2 linked regions of the Diceros bicornis minor genome follow. The protein of the gene in region 2 interacts with the protein of the main gene of each other region in a biochemical or structural test. Links are inferred from orthologs where the notes say so. Each region holds a gene or a part of one and is shown on either strand. Other genes may lie near its edges.

Evidence for each region.
Region 1: the proteins of RXRA (region 2) and TRIM24 form a complex in vitro, tested with the Homo sapiens proteins (3 studies listed by BioGRID). The link is inferred for Diceros bicornis minor from reciprocal best matches to the Homo sapiens genes RXRA and TRIM24.

Annotation. Positions count from the first base shown.
Region 1 is NC_080742.1:86,359,999-86,368,066, forward strand, and holds the start of TRIM24 (transcription intermediary factor 1-alpha), read left to right. Parts: upstream 1-4,868; 5' UTR 4,869-5,189; coding exon 5,190-5,556; intron 5,557-8,068. UniProt on the Homo sapiens protein: Transcriptional coactivator that interacts with numerous nuclear receptors and coactivators and modulates the transcription of target genes.
Region 2 is NC_080767.1:41,224,104-41,231,925, reverse strand, and holds the start of RXRA (retinoic acid receptor RXR-alpha), read right to left. Parts: upstream 3,030-7,822; 5' UTR 3,007-3,029; coding exon 2,976-3,006; intron 1-2,975. UniProt on the Homo sapiens protein: Receptor for retinoic acid that acts as a transcription factor.

The sequences.
Region 1 (8,068 bases), on a different chromosome or scaffold from region 2:
TGGGATATCTGCCACAGCATGGCTTCACAAGTAGTGCGTAGGTCCGCGCCCGGGATCCGGACCTGCGAACCCCAGGCTGCCAAAGTGGAGCGCGCAAACTTAACCACTCTGCCATTGGGGGGGGCCCCTACAAACATTTTTAAAAAAATGACTGAACTTTTTATCTTCCTGATGGCAGAAAATTTAATCTAATCATATTCTCAGTTACTTTAGGTTTTATTTCCATTTTGGTTTTGGTCATCATTGCAGGTTTTAAATCAGTCAATATAATATTCATTCTCCCTTCCATCTAGGGCCAATTTGAAGATCCAAGGGGTTAATAGGGCCATGGCACGTGGACTCAGAGACCTGAGTCCTTGGGCATCTTTGGTTCACGGTGGCATACACAGAATGTGCCTTGTCTCCATTGGTTCTTGACTGTTGGCATCTCTGTGGAAGCCACCGATATAATCCAAGATGGTCTTTGATCCCTACACACTACATCCTCCTTGTCCTAACCATGAGGCCTCAAGTCATCCAAGCCTCTCAGCTACTACTGAAGGTACAGAATCTTTTCCTTGTTCCTCTAAAGCTATAGGAGATTGGGTGAAGGGATTATCTCAAACCCTCCTTGCCTAGCTTTGTATCACGATCTCTAAGAGTTCTATTCAAAAATGATTTTGTTAAACTTCCCTGGAAGTTCTAGAATTTCTATTTGTTACTACCTTTCAAGGGGTGGGCATGAGAAATCCTCATTAGCATCTAATGCTCTTGCTCCCCTTGCAGACTCCCTTGTCTTCCAGACAAAGATTCTTAGCTCCAATTCTTATGTCCCCTCTCAGAGTGTTACCACCCAACGTGGGGCCTTCTGCTCGCCGAAAGACATGCCAATAGTCAAGAAGCAAGGTGGTAAGAGAAAAAGGACTTTTTTATTACTTTTTTATTTTAGGACTTTTTTATTTTATTTTTATTAGCAAACTTGCTAGCAAGAGGGAAGATGGCAGACTCACGTCCAAAAGAACCATCCTAAGGGGGCATGAAATCTTACAGCAGTTATATAGGCCATTGGGTTATTGCGGAGGGCGTTAGGAATGTTGACCTTCTGGTGTTACAGACTGGGAGTGCCACATCAGATCTTTCACTTTTCACTGATGATGGCTATCAGCATAGATTCTCTGTTTGAGGGTCATCGCATCCTAAGGAACTCAAAAAAGCAGTTATCATCTTATCACAGCTGGGAGGTACGTGCACAAGCAGGGGTCGTAAAATCTACAGAGCAGTTAGATCTTGTGGGGGAAGAGGGAGAATCCCCCTCTGCCCTTTCCCTTAAGGTTCTTATGGCTGGCCAAATCATTAACAAGACAGGTTAGCAGGAGAAAATAATACCAAGTTTAATAACATGTATACATGGGAGAAACCAGGGACACTGCGTTTCTCAACACAATAGCAGAAATTCTCGTCTTAAATACCATGTTCAGCCAATGACAAAGAAGGATGTTGGGGGTGGGGGGAGTCAGTTACAGGAGATTACCACTAAAGCACAGTAAACAAGAGTAAGGTTATTATGCAGATTTAAGGCCTCACTTTCCACATTGATAAGTTTCTAGAAATGAGGTCATCCCCCCTCTTCCCAACACAGAGAGGGAGATACCTTTACAAATGGAGATTTCCCTTATAAATGTAAATGTTTGTCTGGTGACTCCTCACAGGGCCATCCAGAGAATGTGGCCAGAGAGACAGAACATCTGATAAGATGGGCTTGTTGCTGCCTTTCCTATTGTAACATCTATTTTACATTATATTACAGCCATCAGATGGAAGATCTGTTCCAGGAAGGAATTACTATGGCAAATTCTTTAGGCAGTTAGTGGGGGAGGTCAAATGTCTGTCAGAGAAAACAATCAAGGTAAAGAGATATATTTCAGGGTGGCCAAATCTTGATCTCCCACAGTCTCCTGGAGGGTGCATATCCAGCTGGGTTAGTTTGTCAGAGGTCATTCAAAGTTATAGTAGAGTTTTTCTTTTCTACAATATGGCTTCCCTTATGTCAACCTTTCTTGAGCCAGTATCAAGAGGAGGTGGTAGACGTGGTGGTGGTGCAGTTTAGAAAATGGTAAACTATCCAATTAGGCTGAAGTTTTGATTGGGTATGGGAAAGCAGTGATGATCAGGTGCAGTGGGGAGCCATAGAAATTGTAGAACAAGAGAGGGGGTTAAATTCAGAGCTGTAATTAAGGAAACATAATCTATCAGTAGTGTGGATCTCTGTGAAATATTTTTGCAACACACTTGGGAGGACAACAATATCTAGATAAGAAAATCACATGATTAAAATACCCTAAAACAGGGGCCGGCCCAGTGGCCCAGGCAGTTAGGTACGCGCGCTCCGCTGCAGCGGCCCGGGGTTTGCTGGTTCCGATCCCGGGCGTGCACCAACGCACTGCTTATCAAAGCCATGCTGTGGCAGCGTCCCATATACAGTGGAGGAAGATGGGCGTGGATGTTGGCCCAGGGCCAGTCTTCCTCAGCAAAAAGAGGAGGATTGGCAGATGTTGGCTCAGGGCAGATCTTCCTCACACACACACAAAAATAAATAAAATAAAATACCCTAAAACAATAAATTCATTTTCTGGACTTAAAAAAATCCCCAGAAGCCATATATATTTGGACAAAGTAAAACATACGATTGTTTTAATTACACGAGACTAGGAAGTCTAAGAATACGGAAGATAATTTTCTCTAAAACTATTTATCCATGATAATTTGAGAAACTAAACTAGTGGGTTGTATCAAATTACATGGAACTCTCTCAAAACGAGCCTCCTCAATTTACCTCTCACTCCTTCTTTCTCCACCACCATCATTCGAAGGAATAAAAGGCGCTTTTCTTTAGTCTGCTTGAATCCTGTATACCTCCTTTGTAATGAATTACTAGCATCTTAAAATCATTAACTTAGAATTTGCTTTTCTAGTATATGAAGATTTTCAAAGTGCAGCTACAAAAAGATAGGGTACAGAATATGTACCGGGGAAGGGATGATGAGCTTTGTCTGGGGTGGTTTAAGGGGACAATAGGTAAGTCTGAATTTTGAGAGAAGGGCATTCCAAAACAAAGGGAACAACATGTGCAAAGGAGGAAGGCGTTAAAATTGCTGGAGGGTAGAGTATGCAAGTAGTGGGAGCTTCAGCTTGAGAGGTGAATAGGAATGAAATCACAGATGGAAGGTAGGTGGGTTAAGAAATTTGGGATAGGCCTCTGTTTCTCTAAGGGTGGTCCTGAACCACCCAGATCACAATCATGAGGTGCTGCTAAAATTGAATACGGGGATGGGCCCAAGAACCAGTTTTTGAGTAATCTTGCCAGGTGATTCTTATGCAAACTAAGGCTTAAGAAACTGCTACTATACAAAAGAAATAGCCTTTGAATGTCATTAAGAAAGAGAACTTCACTCTGGAGGCCTATGGAGACTGGATTTTAGGCCGGTGGAGACTGGTTGGGAAAGAGGCTGGTAGCAGAGGAATACCTTGGGAAAAGTAAAATCTTGAGGGAGGGCCAGGATGTCTCCAGTTTGCCCTCCCCCATTGCCATTTCTTCTTCCAGGATCATTTCAATTCTAACAAAGCCTTTTCTGAGACCATCCCACTCTCCTCAAAGGTCCAGCGCCACTTCATTTGTACTTAAAAATGGCACTTGCATACAATTTTTTTTACAGTCATGTGTGTACAAAAGCTTTGTTTTCCCCATCCCGTTTCTATACTTCAAGCTCCTTAAAATCTTGGCCATTTTTTGAGTGAAAATGTGTGTAACTTCTGATACAAGTGTGTGTGGGGGGCGGGGGATGAAAAAGAATACTGAAGTTATGAATTATTTGGACATCAGTGTTGACATTTATTTTTATTTCTTGTAATGATGCCATATTTATGCAATAAAGACATTTGCAGGGGCTGGCCCGGTGGCACAAGCGGTTAAGTGCGTGCGCTCCACTGTGGCAGCCCAGGGTTCGCCGGTTCGGATCCCTGGCACGCACCGATGCACCGCTTGTCAAGCCATGCTGTGGCAGCGTCCCATATAAAGTAGAGGAAGATGGGTATGGATGTTAGCCCAGGGCCAGTCTTCCTCAGCAAAAAAAGAGGAGGATTGGCAGATGTTAGCTCAGGGCTGATCTTCCTCACAAAAAAAAAACCAAAAACAAACCAAAAAAAGACATTTGCAATCTTTATATATTAATTCCTTGGAAAATGAACCATTTTTATTCACTTAAAAAGCAAATCCTTTAAAAATTCCCCACTTGCAAAAGAACCTCGCCCCTTACTCATGCTCCATCATTCATCACAGAGATGAGGACATTCAGGTGGCACAATCCATCCTGCCTTCATAATCCTTTTTACACAACATTTTCCCATTTTTAAAATTCTTTCCTTGTTTGCTCTTCACTATCTCCACTTCGTCCTCCTCTGACCCTCCTACCATATTTACTGCTCCTACAGGACCCCTGTCTCTAGTAGTAAAACCACAGTTTTCGAAGCAGTTACTTAATTAACGGCGTTCAGCAGACCCGGTGGAGCTCCGCCCCATAGGAGGAGCTCACACAGGCGGACCGAATTAAGTGCTCGGTCGTGAACAAACGAACCCTTAATCTTGACCAAGGAGCTAAACACACACAAAGGCCCAATCAGAGGACGCGGTTCTAGGAGCCCGGGGGGGCGGGGCTGGGCGAGCGCCCTCCCACCTCCCAGCCTCCCACCCTCCCGCCGCGGCCGTCGGAGCCTCGCGGGCTTCAGCAGGCCCCGCCCCCTGGCGAGGCGCGGCGGCTATTGGGCGGCTTGCTCCTCGCCTTCGCCTCAGTTGCTGGGAGAGGGAGGGCGGGTGGAGGGCGCGAGGTGAGTTGGGGGCCCCGAGAGAAAGGCGGGGAGCTGAGGGCAGGCTGGGCGGGTTCGACGAGCGCCGCGGCGGTTGGCGAGGCGGACGGGGCGCAGCCTTCCCGGTGCGAGGAACGGTCCTCGCTGACAGATTCCCTTCTTCCGGCCGCGCCACACTGGAGGCGGATCCGCGGGGCCTGAGGAGGCTTCCTCGGCCCGGCCCTCCCTCCCTCCCTCCCTCTCCCGCGGGTCACCCGAGCGGCCTGTGAGGAGGCGGAGGAGGAGGTCGTCGGGGGCTGCGCGGGCGGAGACCGCGCTCCCCCTACCCCGGCGGCGGCGGGGGCAGGACAATGGAGGTGGCTGTGGAGAAGGCGGCGACGCCGGCCGCGGCGGCTTCGGCGGCGGTGGCCGCCGGGGGGCCCTCGGCGGCGCCGAGTGGGGAGAACGAGGCCGAGAGTCGGCAGGGCCCCGACTCGGAGCGCGGAGGCGAGGCGGCCCGGCTCAACCTGTTGGACACTTGCGCCGTGTGCCACCAGAACATCCAGAGCCGGACGCCCAAGCTGCTGCCCTGCCTGCACTCCTTCTGCCAGCGCTGCCTGCCCGCGCCCCAGCGCTACCTCATGCTGTCCGCGCCCCTGCTGGGCTCGGCCGAGACCCCGCCGCCCGTGCCCGCCCCCGGCTCGCCGGTCAGCGGCTCCTCGCCGTTCGCCACCCAAGGTGAGAGGCGGGCGGGGAGGCGGGCGCCCCGGTGCGGCGCGACCCGCTGGCATGTCGCCGCCGCCCGGGTGCCCGGCGGGGGAGGGGCGGGGAGGAGGGTCTGTGTTGGCGGCGGTGACATGGAGGGCCCGCGCGCTCGGCGGCGTGCCGCGCGCCCCGCGAGCAACTTCCACGGGCGCCGTGGACTCGGCGGCGCTGCTGCTGCTCCTGCTCCTCGGCATTCTCCTCCGGGGCTGCGTGGCCCCGCCAGCCGCACTTTTGAAAACCTCTGTCGGAGTCCGCTGTCGGCTGTATCTCGGGTTCTCCGCCGACTGCATCTAGTTAACTGCTAACCTCTGCCTCCCCAAAGCTTTGTCCAGGTCCATACGATCCTAATCATCTCCTGTAGACTCCCGTTATTTGAGCTGGAGGGGGCACGGGCGGGATGAAGATGAAGTGATGGTGACTTTCTTTGATGATTGATTACAGATCGGATGCCGTCTGTTTTCTGTCTTACACGTTTTGGGTTCTTGACCTTAATGAGTCCCCACTTCTCTTCTCTTCCCTCTGCTGGGGACAAAGGAACTAAGAGACAGTGTTTTGTTGTCTTTCTCTTTGAAGGTTTTGAGACTGTAAAGGGTAAAGAGAAATAGAACAAAGTGATTTGGGTGTAGGATTTTCTTGTATTTTGTAGACAACAGCTGGAAATGTTGAACTTACTGTTTTCTTTGTGGTGTTTGTTACTGTGTAATGAGACTTTTGACGGGTAGTTCCTATTGCTAACGTTAACAGGTTTGAAACATTTCAAGTTAGTTGAAGTAAGCACGGTAATTATTTGTTTCTAGTAGAATACTTGGGGTTTTTCTATTTTAATATTGCGAATATTTGAGCACCTCCTTTTAGACAATACAAAGTAACTGGAAGAGGGAAATAATTCATTTTTAATATATACTTCCTTTTTAGAAGGACTAGTTGATTTAATTTGAGATAAAATTCTAATTAAATGAGCTAGGTCAAGGGGTATATGAAATTGATGTTTTAAATAGATTGTGGTGTTGGACTCAATTAATTGTATGTTAGGAACAACATCTAGTTGAGGGAAACAATTTTCCATGGGTCTCTTTCTGTTTCTGCAGGTCTTGCCAGTGGAGGTAGTGACTGCCCTTTGTTTCTGTTTTTAAAGGATGTTTGTATAAGCAACAGCCTTGGAAGATAGAGATAGTGTCTTCCACCAGAGCAAAGAGCAGGCATGCATATGGTCCAGTATAAAAAAGAGAAATGTCTCCTGGAGTAAAAGGCAGGCATGCTTATTGCCTATCAAAAGATGAGGGTTCTCCAAGCTTAGGTTTCATCTCCTGTAACACAACCCATTGCCTGTGCGGGTGTCAACTGGCCCTCTTTACTTTGCCAGTGGGAACTGGGGCTCTGGTAACGAGTGCAAAACTGTTGATGCTTTGGCTTATGTTTTTACGGTGAGTAAGCAACAAGCTGCCCTTTGTCTCTGACCCCTGAGTCTCATGTCTTCTACCAGCATCCGTGGTAAGCTACTTTGTTAGCATGCAAGTAGGGTAAAAATCGCAGATTCTTCACACTAGTTTGTTCTGATGTGGCCCACCTGTTGGAAAGTTAGTACAGGTGAAACTTTATTTCTAGGGCCAGCCCGGTGGCTTAGCGGTTAAGTGCACGAGCTCCACTACCGGCGGCTTGGGTTCAGATCCCGGGTGCGCACCGTCACACTGCTTGTCCGGCCATGCTGAGGCCACGTCCCACATACAGCTACTAGAAGGATGTGCAGCTATGACATACAGCTATCTACTGGGGCTTTGGGGAGAAAAGGGGAAAAAAAGGAGGAGGATTGGCATGGATGTTAGCTCAGGGTTGATCTTCCTCACACACAAAAAAATCTTAGTTCTTAATTTCTAGACATTTTAAAGTTTCTTTTATTCGTATTTAAAATGGTTAAATAGGCCAATAGCCAATTAGGATCTGAATTTTGCGTAATTCTAGAATTAAGATTTATTGTGTGCCTGGTGATGACGTTTAGACCTGAATAAATGAGAACATGGGCAATAAGAGCTCTGATCTTCAATTCTGAGACAAGTTTGTTATTCCAGATGTCTCAAAATGTTCTATGTAATTCCAGTCTCCAAATGTCTTTGCTCTTTGTATTGTAAGCAAGAGTTCAAGGAAAGCATTTAAATTAGAAGATAATGTTTTGTTGTTTTTTGTTGTTGTTTTTTTTTTTTTCTGAGGAAGATTCGTCCTGAGCTAACATCTGTTGCCAATATTTCTCTTTTTGCTTGAAGAAAATTGTTGCTGAGCTAACATCTGTGCAAATCTTCCTCTGTTTTGTATGTGGGTTGCCGCCACAGCATGGCCTCTGACAAGTGGTGTAGGTCCGAACCCAGGCTGCCATAGTGGAGTGCACTGAACTTAAAAACATGGGGCTGGCCCCATGTTTTTGTTTTCATACTAAGAAAGAAGAAGGCTTTAACAAATGATACTTTCACATACTCCTCTAAAAAAAGAGAGT
Region 2 (7,822 bases):
AGAACACAGACCTCTTCCAGCTCTTCCAAAAACCCTACAAGCACCACTGTCTTTTTACAGAAGGGAAACTGAGGCTCAAAGACACAAAGTTCAACCTGCCCAAGGCCACACAGCTGGCTGGTCAGTGGCAGACAAGACCGGGACCCAGGGCTGCCTGGGCCCGAGGTGCAGGGCGAGGGTGGGGGAGGCCAGAGGAGCGGGGTAACCTCAGGGGCACTGGAGGGAACCTCTGCCCCAACAAGGGGACGGAGACCACTTAGGGGTCTCCACGCAGATGGACGGACATCAGCACATACACACTTACACCCCACACACACCCTGCTGGGGCCCAGAAGCCCCTAGAATCTCCCAACCCCGGGCCATGCCCACAGGGTGGTGGGTGCTGCTTGAGGCGCGGGAGGGTGGTGACCAGAGCAGGACCCCGGGTCCTGGAGCCAAAGTCTCCGAGAACGCTCCGGTTCTCTCCTCCTCTGGCCTGGAAAAGGCCTGGCCAGTCTCAGCAAGAGGCCAACTTCTTCCTCCCCAAAAACTGGGGAAGGGGGAATCCCAACTTTGACAGAAACCAAAAATCGGCATTCCATCTTTGTCCATAAAATAATAAATACCGAGATACGCTATTATCCAGACATCCGCACGTGGAGGAAGGCCGGGCCACAGCAAAGGCCCGCAGCACTAACCCTGGGCGGGGGGCACGCCATGGCCGGTTTTTACTTCCTCTGTTTGGTGTTAATAACAGAGTTGTAGGGTGGTTGGTTTTGGAGTTCTTTCTTTCTTTGGGGGGAGCTGTTTTACAGAATCTCAGCATCATCCCTGATCAGCCACTTGCACAAACTCTCCCACCAAAAGCACCCTCCTAGCCAAACACAGGTTTGATATTCTCCAAACCCATTGCCGCAGACTCCTCCACCCTCCCCCAGTGTGAGCTGGAAGGAGCCCCAGGAGGGCCGGGAGCTCCTCGCCCAGCCCCGCGCCCACCGTCCGGCCCGTGTCCTCGGCTGTAAGGTGAGCTGGCTGACCCAGCATGGCTCGGCCCAGACTAACGCCAGCCCGTCAGAACGGTCCCTGGGCTGACCCCGGGATGAACCGGGGTTACTCTGGGCCGGGGCCTGCCTGGAAGCCTTCGCCAGCCACCTAGGACCAACCTCTTGTGGCATCCCAACCCCAGAGCTCCAGACAGGGCCGAGGCCCACCAGGGGACCCCTCAGCCTCCCTCCAAGAAGCTTGCCCATCTCCCTGACCCTGACCGGGCAGCCAAGTGCCCAGCACCACTGCAATGCTGGAGGCAGGAAGGTCTCCTGGGGTGCCAAGCCAACCACAGCCACAGTAGCACCTCCTGTGCTCCTCCTCACCCGCCCTGGGGGCTCCCACCCCTCCCCACACTGCCCTATGCTCTCTGGGCCTGTCCACTCTCCACCCCCAGCCTTGGGAACTGGATCATTTCCAGGAACCAGCTCTCTCGCCTGTAGTTGCGGACATGCTGTTCCCTGGGCTTGAAACTCCCCCTATCTGTCTCCTGGCTCACTCCAACCCAGGCTCAGTTCAAACAACACCCCCTCCAGGAAGCCCTCCTGATCCTCCTAGCCAGGGCAGAGGCCTCTTCTACTATGTACCCCCAGAGCACTCACCATGCCGCAGGGTGGCCCCAGCCCACTTGTCTGCGCCTGCCAAGGTCTGGGGGCTCCTGAAGGTAGGAACTATAACTGGTTCACTGAGCACCCCTGGGGCCTGGCACACAGCAGGTGCCAAATAAAGACTTACTAAATGGATGGATGGGGTGGGGGTGGGAGAGCTAGCAATGGGTGAACACAGGCTACAGGATTCACCACAGTCCTTAAGAACCAGCTGAGCAAGCACCAAGTTTCAAACAGACCCTAAGGCACTGACAAGCTGTCCAACTCCAAGTAGATTAAGCAACCTCTCTGAGCCTTTATTTCTTCTTCTGCAAAGAGATGTCACATACGAAGGAAGTGGTCAGGAGGCAATGGAAGTGGACGAGTGACCCTGAAGCTGCCCTTTCTCACCCGTCCCCACAGATGGTGAACAGAGGTGGTGAGGCACAGGTGGCCCAGAGCTAGCAGACCTGAGTTCGAGTCCTGGCTGCTGCACGACTCATGCCTGGGTGGGGCCCCGGGCATCTGACTCAACCCCGCTGGGTCTAAGAGTCCTTGTCCCCACAAAGGGATGGTGCCCTCGGCTTCAGCCCCCCTCACACATCACACAGAGCACTCACTAGGGGACACCTGTGTCCCACCGCCCCCATGCTAGGAACAGGCAGATGAGCAAGGCCGGGCCTGCCCAGGGACACCCCGTCCAGAGTCAGACGACAGCCTTTCCCGGAGCCGAGAGAGCCCAGTCAGTCAGTGATGCAGCACGAGGAGGAGGGGCACTCTGTCCTGGTGCAGACATCAATCAAGGAAGGCTTCCTGTAGGAGGCACTACTCACCTCCCTCCAGCTACAGCACAGTAGACTCCTACATCCTCCAAACCAACCCCTCGGCTCTCTGTCCACAAGCTGGGAGATAGAAAAGACCTACACACATGCCCACCCCAGGGCAGCCACCACAGCCGCAGCCCCAGGGAAGGCGGCAGACAGATGCAGGGACCCCTGGCACCAGGAGGCACCGGGTCCAAGGCCAGCCCCACCTCCCCCGGCCAGGGACCACAGTCAGTGGCGTCACATCTCGGGGCCGCAGTGTTCTCATCTGGAAAATGGGCTCACAAACCCGCCAGACAGGGCTGTTCTAGGATGACTGGGTGAGCTGAGCATGTGCCCGGCGCCCAGCAGGCCTGGGCTGCTATGGCGGGGAGGCACCGGCCACGACTCCAGCACATGGCAGGTGCCTGACAACCGAGAGCCCCTTCGGAGGTCACTGCTCTTCCCGTGACTGTCATCCCAGCCCGAGTGACAGTGCTCGCTGCCACCGGCTGGAACCCACATGGTCCTCCCACCCCGGCCACTGAAACTCCCACCTTACCGAGCGCCTCTCCCAACACCCGCCTCCACATGGGCCCCTGGCTGGGCGGCAGCCTCGCTGTGTGGCCCAGACCCAGCCCCTCACCCTCTCTTGGCGCCTGCTTCCTCATCTATAAGAGACTTGCCCCCAGGCCCCTCCCCTGCTGACAGGCGACGGGCAGACGCCAAAGTAGGGGTGAGGCCTGACCACAGTTCCTAGAAGCCAGGCCCCACCCGGCAGGGGACCTGATAGGGGTCTGCAGCAGTGCGAGGGTGATCCTGAGCCCCTCTCCTCCTCCCCTTCACCCAGAGGGCCTGATTCCAGAAGCATCCTCAACCAGCTCCCTGCCCAGGCCAGCAGAGTCCCCTCAGGGATCAGAGAGCCTGGGCTACTCGCCTGAGGTCGCACAGCTCAGAATTGCAGAACCGGACGCCCCCAGCAGGTCACTTGGCCTCTCTGAGCTCTGGTTTCCTCCTCTCAACACTGAGAATGAGAATGCCCACCCCAGGAGGTTAAGGGGAGGGCCCCCCGACCCCTCCAAAGTCAACTGCCTGGAGCACGTGGACAATCGATGAATGTGCAGCCCCCGTGGCCACTGTCTGCCCCCCTGCAGTGCAGGCCCACGAGCCAGGCCTCACGCCAGCCAAAGGGAGAGGGGCGCCACCCAGTGCTGCCCAGGGCTCCCCTCTTCCCACCATCTCCTCGAGAGGGGGCAGCCCAGTACGCCAGGACAGTCCCTCAGAGGGCACAGGGAGCTGGGACCCTTGGCTGCCGCCCTCTGCCACCTGCTCGCTGTGTGCCCACCGGGCTGGCAAGCCATCCTCGGCCTGCCTCTGCTCCCCGACCCTCCTTCCTGCCCCAAGGCCCAGGTTCAAATCCCGCCTTCCACTCCAAAGCCACCTGACCTCTGTAAAAGGGGCAGGTCACAAAGACAACGTGGGCCCAGAGTAATGTCACCCTGCTCTAGTGTGTCACGACTCTGCCAGCACCTCGGGCAGCAAGGGGAGGGGAGGAAATGGGGAGCCCGACACCCCAAGAGGGAGGCGCAGGCTGGGCCTGGCACCCAGGCCCCTGACACCCAGTCCTGTGACAGGCTGGCAGGATGTTGGGAAACCCAGGAGCACTTATTTCAACACCGCCCGCCGCGTCAGCGACTGGTTTCGACACGCAGCAGCGCCCAGGCAAGGGCCACTGCCAACTTGTCCGCCGCCCGGCGGTCACGCGGGGAGAGGCCGGTCGGGGCACAGGGCTCACGGCCCCACGGCCCCCCGGCACCCCCAACCCCCCGACCTGGGCAACGGCCCTCGTCCTCAGGGCACGCAGAGATAAGGGTGGGGCCACCTTGAAGGTGCAAAGGCCACGCCCAGCCTGCTTCCCACTCCCCAGGCCAGGCCGCAGGCCCCGGGAATGGCGGGGACCAGGCCAGAAATGGGCCACCGTGCGCGGCCGTGAACCGGGTTGAGGCTTCCCTGCGGACCTGCGGGGCGAAGCTCGGGGGGAGACGGTGTTCTGGAAAGAGAAAGCGCCCGCGGAGGCCGGGCCTCCTCCCCAGCCCCGGGAGGCCCAGCAAGTGGAGTGGCAGCGGAAGGGGTCCGCCGGGCTCGCCCACAGCCCCGAGCGCCCAGGGCGCCCTGCCCGCCCAGGCCCGGGGGGCCCCTTCGCGGGTCGTCTCCCTGTCCCCACGGCGGCCAGCCAGGCGGAGCAAGCGCGCCCCCACCTCCCAGGCCAGCCGAGCCCGGCCCACTTGCGGCCTGCACGCCTTTGCTGACTTGTAAGCAGAAACAAGAGTGGGCCGGGGACGGCAGGTGCCACTCAAGGGCACCTCGTGCTCCAGGGACATGAGCCCTCACGGCAAGCCCACCCCAGAGAGGAGGAAACCAAGGCCCAGTGAGGGCCAGGGACTCACCCAAGGCCACCCCTGGGGGAGCAGGGCAGCAAGAACCCCACCCCAGCCCCACAGCTGGCTGCCCGCACCGGGCCAGCAGGAGGCAGGAGCTTTCATTGGGGTAGGGGCCCGATGGGGGCGGTGGGCCAACTTTGGAGGTAAATGCCCAGCCCACATGCCCTCTGCCATGTGTCCCTGGGACGACATGCCCAGGGCCCCAGCACCCGCTGACTCCAGAGCCTGCCCAGGGCCCCACACCAGCCGACACCCGCACACTCTCTCTTCAGCTCTGGGGGCTAAGTCTCCCAGCACAGCTGCCCGCTGTTCAGGCCAGACGCGGCCTCACCCCAGGCCCTCAGGAGACATCCCAAAGGAGTGAGCAGAGGGGACTCTGCCCTGGCCGCTGGCTGCCACCTCCCTCAATGACTGCGGCAACCCCTCAGCCGGCCGCCCAGCCGGGCAGCCTCCCCTCTCAGCAGCACCCTCTCCTAGAACGTGCGGCCCAGCGGCATCCACGCTCCCTCTGGCCCTGCCCCTCTGTGGGTTGAGCCTGATGGGCATCCGGCCCCCCAGGTCCTGCCACTGCCGGTTCCCCACCCTGCAGACTCGCCGGGGTCTCCACCACACCATGGGCTCCAAGGGGCCACAATGGTGTCTGGATGCCCCACCCCTGGTGTCCAGCACAATGCCCAGCCGACTCTCGGGGACAGGCTGGGGGTGACAAAGAAGCACGATTAGAGCTGTCATGCCACCGTTGGCTCTCTGAAATCCCGAAAGGCTCTGTATAGCCAGGCCACATCAAAAGATATGGAATTTCAAATGAGGGGTGACCATGAGCCCCTCACCTCACACCAGATACTGCTGTAGATCTGGGGACACACAGAGAACCCACTGGGGGGACAGAGAGTGAACCAGCACAGAAATAAGGAAGGTAATCACAGGTTCCCGGGCGGGGAGGCCCAGTCTGGGCCCAGTGGCCAGGAAAGGGCTTGTGGAGAGCCGGGGAATGAGAGCAGCCAGGCAGGCAGTCTCCTGCAGGGCGAGAGCGGCCCTGCCAGGTCCAGACTCAGGTCTGAGACAACAAAACCCGGTTCCCCCAGGGCCCACTGTGGACCGATGTCACCCAACGCACCCCTCTGGGGCCCTCAAAGATACCTCCGATGGGGACAGATGGTTCTCCTTCCAGTCCCCATATTGGGAGACCAAGGGCCAGATCCCGGCTGCGTCCTGGGGAGTCAGGCAATGGGGCTTCCCCTCCCCCCATGCCCACCCGCCCTGGAGCCCTGCCCCCAGCACCCTACGAGGTCTTGAGACCCAGCAAGACTCCAAAACCTCAGAGGGTCTTGCTTGGCACACTGAGGGGCTGTGAACACCCAGCCCATCCATTCGGCAGACTAGAGTCAGAGATCCGGTGTGAGTTCACGTGTCTGAGCGTCTGTGCACGCGCATGCATACGTGTGTGACTGCATAAACAACGTGTGTAAGGTTTCAGGTTAAAATGGGCCTTGAACCGGGAGGAGGGGGTGTCTCCACTCAGCCCTGGCCCCCACGCCTCCGAACCACGAGGCTGCAGGAGACAGCAGGGCAGCTTTCGGACGGGACGGGAAGGGGGATGTGCCCAGGGTCACTCAGCTGGAGAGCGCCCTAGCCGCCCCAGGCTGGACCTCGAACCCAGGCCCGTGACTCCAAAATCCAGGTAGCCCCGGGTGGGGCCAGGGGTGGGGGGGCTCTCTGGGATGGGGCCCAAAAAGGCCCTCAGAGGTGTGGCAGTCATTGTCCCTCACACTAACACATGCACACACACGTGTGCACCACCCACAGAGCGACACACCTGACTGCTCACTCAAAGCAAGACAGACAGCTCTCCAGAACCTTCTGCTGCCTGTGCCTTCTCACTCCACAGGCTGCATCTCACCGCACTGACATGCAGGGGCTGCCGGGCCCCGGGAGGGAAACCCCAGGCCCTCGGGAGCGCCCGCACCAGCGCCCAGGGAGAGCAGCTGCCATTCTTCCCAGAAGGGGCCACGCCCGTCAAGCCCTGACCAGCCTCTGCTGAGCCCGTGGGGGCACCGGGGAGCCAGAGCTGGGAGCGGGCAGGGCCGAGTACGCAGGCGTGTCCTCCTCCACCGGGAGGGGGCCTCTCAGGGACGGGCTCGCAGAGCCGAGGCCCAGGGAGAGATTTCGCTTTAAAGCCACCACTTCACGCTGTTCATCATATGCAGGTGACAATGGGGGGAATGAGCACCTCGGTAACTCTGGAGTGAGAAGAAAGAGATTAAACAGGGGCTGCTGTTCCCCAGGCTGAGGGCCTGGGGCCTCCTCAAGCCCAGGACCCCTTGGCTCAAGCTGGGAAGCACCCCACCCTCACCCCTCAGATGGTGGAAAGAGTCCCGATGGGGCAGAGGAGACGCCAGGCCCACACCCCCCGCAGCCAGGCTCCCGGGCACCACGGACGCCAGGCGCCGTTTCTGGGCAGCCGGGGCCTGGAGCAGAGCCACACATGCTGGCACCTCCAAGGAGGGCCGAGCTGGCTTCATAATGAAGCCAGCGGTGTTTGTTTAATAACAAATCACCCGGAGCAGGCGGGGAGCGCCTTATCGGCGAGGATCTCCAGCAGGGCTGATACCATCAACTGAAGTCAAGGAGCTCTGGGAACTATTAGCTTAATGAGCAGTTCCTGCAGGGTCAGCAGAACTGCTGGCTGAGCCGGGGCCCGGGAACCAGTGTGGCTGCCACAGCTGGGCTGAGCGGGTCCTCGGGTGGGGCCTGGTGAGGGAAAGGACCCCGGAGGTGCAAACGAGGTGCCGCAGGACAGCACGGGAGTCGCCCCTCGCAGCTCTCCACGTCCCTGCGCCCCTTGGGGGGTGCATGTGCTCCCACGTGCCCACTGCAGAGCTGGGGCAAGTCGAGGCCTGGGAGGCGACACTCAAGGCAAACCCAACAGCCAGGGCACACTCACAGGCCCACCACACCCTCCTGTCCC